Linked DNA regions of Oryzias latipes. The protein of the gene in region 1 purifies or fractionates together with the protein of each later gene. This does not show direct contact. Links are inferred from orthologs where the notes say so. Each region holds a gene or a part of one and is shown in the gene's direction. Other genes may lie near its edges. The genes, in order: polr1b and protein POLR1D.

Region 1 (2,727 bases):
AATGCTTCGACCGTTCAATGTGGAACCACCCACTCTTATTAAGTCATGTGATTGGTCAGTTTATAACTTGAAAAAGTTGCGCTACAACAAAAATATGGGAAAAAAATAGGATTGTCAAGAAAATGTTTTAAAAAAAATTTTACAGACAAAGAAGGATTATTTGGACCAACAGAATGACTGAGTAACAGCTTTTCATTTTAGATTCTTGGAGTCAGAAGCTACTTCCTGTTTGGAACGCCAGGGGGAGGGGCCACTCAGTCTAGTTCTCTAATTGGCTACAGACCTTGTCAATGAATCTCCTCTGTGTTGTGTCTTCTGGACAGAAAGTGTTCAGTTTTGCCAAATTTTCATAAATATTTAATCGCGATCAGATCTTTGTTTTTATTCTGAAATCCTGGTCTCTCTTTTTTTCTATTTTTAGAGCGTATCCCCCCGGGATACATGAGGGAAGGCTGTACTGTAAATGTTATGACCTTGACTTTTAAATCTTAAAGTTCTAGTTTCATGTTCCTCGTCTTTAACACTGCAGGAGAGAATGACTGCATGGCTGGTGTCTGTGAAGCTGTCCTTTGACAAAAGAGGATCCAAAGTGTTTGCAAGGGGATGGAGCACAGAAAATGTCATAAAGATGCTGAACATGGGCTCTGATGTCACCAAACCTTTTGAATATCTCTTGGCTACTGGAAACCTAAATTCTAAGACGGGTGCATATCCACACTCTTTATATATATATTTTTAAACTTCAATAGTTGCTTTGTTCTAAATGTTTTCTTTCACAGGTCTCGGCATGCTGCAGAACTCGGGCCTCTGCGTTGTCGCTGACAAGCTGAACTTCATCCGCTACCTTTCTCACTTCCGCTGTGTGCACAGAGGAGCAGCGTTCGCCAAGATGAGGACCACCTCAGTCCGTAAGCTGCTGCCCGAGTCCTGGGGCTTCCTGTGTCCCGTCCACACTCCAGACGGAGAGCCTTGTGGACTCATGAACCACATGACTGCCAGCTGTGAGGTGGTGGCAGCATCCAGTCCCACCACGTCGCTGCCTGCACTGCTCTGTTCCCTCGGTAAGCTCCAAACATTTTTACAAAGTGCACATTGCTCCTCAGCGGCTGAAAATGGAAATGGTCCTGTTTTCGGTGTGTGAGGTGTTACTCCGGTGGATGGTACTCCTGCTCAGGCCTTCTCTGACTGCTACCCTGTGGTGTTGGATGGCTCTGTTGTTGGCTGGGTGGAGACCGACTTGGCTCCAGCTGTTGTTGATGCAATGCGGAGGTTCAAGGTACGAGAAGGATGTTAGACAAGTAGTGACCTTGGAAGCAGAAACCTGATGACTAACGTGTGTGCAGGTGCTGAGGGAGAGGAAGGTTCCTCCCTGGACTGAGATCGTCCTGGTTCCTAAAACTGGAAAAGCCAGCTTGTATCCAGGTCTGTTCCTCTTCACAACACCTTGCCGGATGATGCGGCCCGTTCAAAACCTGGCTCTTGGCAAACAGGAGTTCATTGGCACCTTTGAGCAGGTATATGTTTAGCTGGTGCACGTTGAAAGACATTCTTGCCATCGAGACGGTCATCGGAGGACAGCTGTCCAAGTAAAACGGGTTTACTTTTCTGCCGTAGCTTTACACCAATGTTGGAATTTTAGAAGAGGAGATTGAAGCAGGAGTTACCACACACCAGGAGCTCTTCCCTCACAGTATGCTGAGCGTGGTGGCAAACTTCATCCCTTTCTCAGACCACAACCAGAGTCCTAGAAACATGTACCAGTGTCAGATGGGTAAGTGGGTGGGATCAGAAATGTTCATTGAAGGCTAACACCAATTTGGAGTCCAAAGTCCTGAAATTGTTGACCCTAAACTGTTTGTTTCAGGTAAACAAACGATGGGCTTCCCTCTACACTCGTTTATGGATCGCTCGGACAATAAGCTGTACCGACTACAGACGCCACAGAGCGCCCTCGTCAGGCCCTACATGTACGATCACTACAATCTGGACAACTATCCAAGCGGCACAAACGCCATCGTCGCCGTCATATCCTACACCGGCTACGACATGGAAGATGCTATGGTGAATTCAACACAATAGTTTTTACATTTCTACAGATGGGATTTGATCATCTTTTGAGCTATTTTCAAAGCATTCCCAGTAGGGATGCTACTCCATTCTGATCATCCTCTTACAGATAGATCCATGAACGTCTTTATTTTCCTCGTCTGAGCTGGAATCTGGCTCTAAACTGTACGGCTGGATAGCTCTGATATTGGTCGACATTTTTGTTTCTCTGATAATGTTAGTTAGGGGTTGTGACGGGAATTGGTTTGCCTGAGATGGTGTAAACAAAGGCATGATGGGAAATGGAGGAAGGGTCACTCTATGCCAGCGGTCCCGCCCACAACTTCAGGGTGAATTTCTGATGAACTCCTGCTGGTCTTTGGTTTTTAGATTTAGGCTAAAAATGACTTCCTCCTAGTCTGAAGACCACCTGGAATGCTTTGAAAATAGATGTTCAGAGTGGGTCTCTACATTCTGACGTTCTTTGATCTTACTAGATTGTGAACAAGTCATCGTGGGAGAGAGGCTTTGCACATGGGAGCATCTACAAGACAGAATTGGTGGACCTTGCAGACAAAGTGAGGGGGGAAGATGCTGTGGTGTTTGGGACCAAGCCAGGGGACCCCAAAGTAAACGACAAGCTCGATGCTGATGGGCTCCCTCGTGTCGGATCGGTGCTTC
Region 2 (4,618 bases), on another chromosome or scaffold:
AACCTGTCTCCTCTGTCTCCTTAGCTACCAGGCCGGTAGTCACAGATTTCTGCCTCCTTCAAGTGCGTGCTCCTGTCTGTGTCTGACTGGCTGCTTCTGTCCCTATCCTGCAGCTGGACATGAATTTAACATGAGGACACAAGGCTTCTCTGTCTCTGTAACAAAGCTGTGACATCACCACATCACACACAGACTTGTAGACATGCACAAGCAAGAGCAAACAGAAACACACAAGGGCTTTTTTTAGGCAGAAGCCCCTGAAATCTCCTCATCAATAAATAACGCCTTCCGGTTTTAACAGTAAATGCATTTTTGAGTCAGGAAGCAGTTGAAAAACAATCTATTTTAGACAAAAGCCACGCTGGGCTGATTTTTTTTAATAAGTGAAGGCTTGCAGATGCGTGTGACACGTTCTTAATCCTTCTTGTCTGAGTTCAAAGCTGTACTTGCTCATCTTTTTATATTAGGATACCGGTCCTGCACTTGCTCTCATTTTCCCACAGATTACTATCTAATCTTGGGAGAACTAGGCAGCGGCATGCAGGAGTTTCCTTTTTAGAAGATCAAAAGACTCTATGGCACTCATTTAAAAACTCAGGTGTATCAGGCACCCAGGTATCAGATATTTTACAAAAACCTCATTTGGATGTCTTTCATCCTACAAATACTAAACACACAAAGACAGCACGAGAACTGATGTGAACATTATTATATATTTATTTTTTGCATGCATTAGTAATAATACAAAAACTGAGCCTGCTGTAAATTACATTTTCAATTATTATTGTCAATTTTCTGCATTTACCTTAATAACGCCCCATCTGCAAAGCAATTACTAAAATATATATATATATATATTTTTGATACCATCAATGTTTAGATAAGCCCTCCCCCCATCTCTCAAACCCCCCGTTCACTGTCTGAGTCCAACCCCCCCTAGGAGCGAAAAGGGAGGACAGAAGAGGCGACAATGGTAATAACAGAAAAAGCCAGCATCACACACACTGACGCCGCTTACAGTGAAAGGATGCAGATGTGATGTTACCTCTTCAGGCTGCTCCTCTGCGCCGCGCCCGGGCCTCGAAGAGGGGCGGGGGTGGCGGGACAATTAGCAGCTGCGGGACCTCAGTCACGCAGTCGCCGCAACGGACGGCCCGTTCCGCAAACCTGCACGAAAACGCCCCCGTCACTTTGGTGCCTGGTCCCGCCCACTGCTGTCCGTCAAAGAGACTGGGCGGAGTTTGCCGCTGTCAATCCACAAAAAAAAGAAAAAAAAAGTAGAGGTGGCTTCAATGTCGCCTGCCCAAAAACGTCCATTCAGCGGGAATTAAAATCTTTTAATATGTTTATGATTCCGATATGTTAGAGGTAATAACATAAACGGATAAAGCTTCGGGATCATACAGGGCATGGAATATTTTTTGTTTTTCAATGTGACAATTACAACTATTATTTTAGTAACTAAATTACTTTAGAATAAATGTTTGGGTTCTAAAAACGGCGTGAATTTTACAAAAATGCATTATTTATTTAAAAAAAAATGTTATGGTTTAACAATATAAAACAATGAAATGATCAGGCATCTTTTGGTCATAAAATCAGGTCCTCGAAAGAAGGACCTCGCAGAGGTAAATAAATCCCCTAACATGAGCCTGTAGAAATTTCCTGAAATAATTCTGCGTTTTAAAGTCTTTAGGTGGTCAGGCATAATGGCTGAAGATAATGAATTGGAAAAGTAAGTATTTTTTATTTTTAGATTATCATCGATTAACTTGTTTACGTTTGCTCGGTTAAACTAATACATCGGGGGAATGGTGTCTGGTACCACCAGATTAGGCTAGCATGTTTGCATAATGCATTTCTGTAGCTATGGGGTTATTTTGGTTAGGGGACGGAGTGTATCTTGTGTAGCAGTCAACACACTCTGCCTTTTGGCAATCAACAGCTGTTCTCACTACGTGCTATAAGATCGGCTGAATCAGAGAGAGCCCCCTGCGAGACTAATGCCTCAGCTGGTCGGGTTAAACGGGGACACCGCTGATGTCCCAATTACTTATGATTCACTTCCTCCGCGTCTCCTATTTTCTTCCTCGCTCGCACATAATTATATTAGTCTCCCCTTGAGCTTTTATGTCATCTTGGTCTTCTGTTGTTATCCGCATTTTTCTACGTCTTTTCCTCCAGACGGGCTATAGAGGAACTCCTCAAGGAGACAGACAGAGCCAGGGTGAGAGCTGAGACCATGGGCCCTGCAGGATGGTGAGTTATGGTTCTGAAATGTCATCCCTGACAGCCTCCACATAAAACGCCATGTAAAATCTTACTTCATAGGTTTAGCTGTTTTTTTTGGAGGCTTCTATTATTGTTGTATTTGTGTTTAACTAGTTTTCTATTATAGATAATTCGTCAGGTTCCCAAAGACACTTGTCTCTCTTGGCATCTAAAAGCACACACATATAGACTAAATTTATTATTAATATTTATTTATTGATTGTGTGTCTGTAGTGATTCTATGTCTAAAAAAAACGGTATAACCCTGTGAACTTTCCTGGAATTGAAAATATGCTTTCAGACATTTTTATTTTCTGGGCTGACGCTGATTTATCAAAACTATTTTTTTCTTCTTGATTTATTTCAGATGTGAGAGGTCAAAGCTAATGTTCTGAAGCTGTCATTCACTCGTCATTTAATGCAGTTACAAAAGTCACTTGAAAGGAGGGGACAAAAGGCAAATAAAATTTTTTTTTAAAAGACTGTCCATAATTATAATGTTACCTAACTTAAACTTTTCACATTTTTTTGTCTATCCCAAACATTTACATGACAACGTTCTCTGAAGTCTGCAAGGCTTGTCTTTTGTGTAACAATTACAGTTTGAGTTTTTTCACACTGTGTCGCATTTACAATCATAGATTTATCTTGGTAACCAATATTTGTTGACTGATCTGTATTAATTAGATCGACAAATGTTTGCAAGTATATTGTTGCACAATGATTTCTTTTGCATGAAATTATTTATTGACCTATTCACTTTTTGTGTATTTGATCTGTTTGATGGTTAATGGGTTTCTCTTTGGATCTCCCTTCATTGAGTCTCTTGAAATGATAAGATTTATTTGTGTATGTTTAACAGATCTTAAACAAATTTAGAAGGACTTTATTCTTTTTTGTGGGTTTCTAATGAAGAGGTTTATGTTATTTTGTTTTTTAGGTCTGGTCCAAAAAAACTACAGAATATTAAAAAAAAGTTGGTTTATGTAATTTCCAGAAAACTTGCACCTCTTATCACACTATTTAGTAGTAAATTAAAGAATGACCCAGTATTTTTAAGTGTTAGAAAACATGGAAAAACAGCACAATACCATAATGTTTTATTTTCATGTGGGAACCTAACAAAAAGTGAAATTATACAAAAAGCAGTAAGGTGAGCATCTAACTCCCAACTTAAAGCAAAGTCATGCCCTTAATAGTTGTCCTATAATTTAAATTGTACTCTGGAGACAATTTGTCCTTTAATGGAAACGACTATACATCTGTCAGATATACTGATCAGATAACTGTCGCTTTTCACATTAGACTTTAGATTAAAAAAAAAACCTTAATTCTGAATTTTTAAGTGGTTGTGTTGTCTTCTTCTCTGTCAGGTTGAAATGTCCCCTGCAGAGCACCAACAAACGCTTTCTCCTCAACACTCTGCGCTCTACCGGCCTGCAGCGGCGAAACGATGAGCAGAGAACCGCAGACTCCAAAACAAGAGACCGCCTGACCCACAAGTCCCGTGACAGACGGTGTGACCGCAGCAGAACACCTCCGACAGACCACAGGAGTAATGGACGCCACAAAGACCATAAACATCACACCCGTTCAAACCGAGATAAGGAACTGGACAAAGATAAGAACAAATCTGACAGACACGGGGACAACAGCAGAGACAGGAAGCATGCCGATGGACCAAACGGAGACAGAAAAAGAAGTTCTTCATGAATGAACTTGCTGTGTTTTAAAGGTAGCCTTGATGCTCTACTGAAAAATTAATTGGCTGGAGGAGTATGGCTGACTTGAAATAGTTCTGTAGAGCCCTCTCACCCTCACAGAGACCCAGACAGACTAGAAGGACCTCTGCTGATCACAACGAATTGTACAGTGACAGAATATACAATTTGTATTACAGCTTTTGAATGAATGAATGAAGAGAGTAAAAGGAAATAAATATTTTGTGTTTTCAGGCATGAATAATTGATCCTCTTACAGTTCTAACATGAATCTTTATGCACCAGAACGAAACATCAAATATACTTTTTAGGATATAATCTAAAAATCATATCAAAGCTAATATTTGTTTTATCATGTTCCACTTTGTAAAGGTGGCTGTAGCTCCATTATAATGTCATTAACCATTCTTTTGTGGTTATCCACCACTGGTGTTTATATAAGCCATGCTGCTGTCGCCAAAGAGTAAACAAATTTTATATCCTGTCTAATGTTTTGAAATGTGCACAGCAGCTATCAGAACCGCTCTTGTTTTTCAAAGGAGAAAAGTGGTTTCCTTACACTCCCAGTCCCCGTGAAGACACAGTACGACTGTTATAGCTATGAATAAAAAGAAAAGATGAGAATT

What was found.
Region 2: the proteins of polr1b (region 1) and protein POLR1D purify together in Homo sapiens (affinity purification with mass spectrometry; 5 studies listed by BioGRID and IntAct, with this or other methods). This does not show direct contact. The link is inferred for Oryzias latipes from reciprocal best matches to the Homo sapiens genes POLR1B and POLR1D.

The regions. Positions count from the first base shown.
Region 1 is NC_019873.2:3,646,897-3,649,623, reverse strand, and holds part of polr1b (DNA-directed RNA polymerase I subunit RPA2), read left to right. Parts: intron 1-529; coding exon 530-704; intron 705-779; coding exon 780-1,061; intron 1,062-1,142; coding exon 1,143-1,276; intron 1,277-1,343; coding exon 1,344-1,514; intron 1,515-1,614; coding exon 1,615-1,771; intron 1,772-1,864; coding exon 1,865-2,061; intron 2,062-2,543; coding exon 2,544-2,727. UniProt on the Homo sapiens protein: Catalytic core component of RNA polymerase I (Pol I), a DNA-dependent RNA polymerase which synthesizes ribosomal RNA precursors using the four ribonucleoside triphosphates as substrates.
Region 2 is NC_019878.2:17,475,207-17,479,824, reverse strand, and holds protein POLR1D, read left to right. Parts: upstream 1-1,570; 5' UTR 1,571-1,628; exon of another isoform or gene 1,629-1,689; 5' UTR 1,690-1,709; coding exon 1,710-1,735; intron 1,736-2,184; coding exon 2,185-2,259; intron 2,260-3,644; coding exon 3,645-3,984; 3' UTR 3,985-4,474; downstream 4,475-4,618.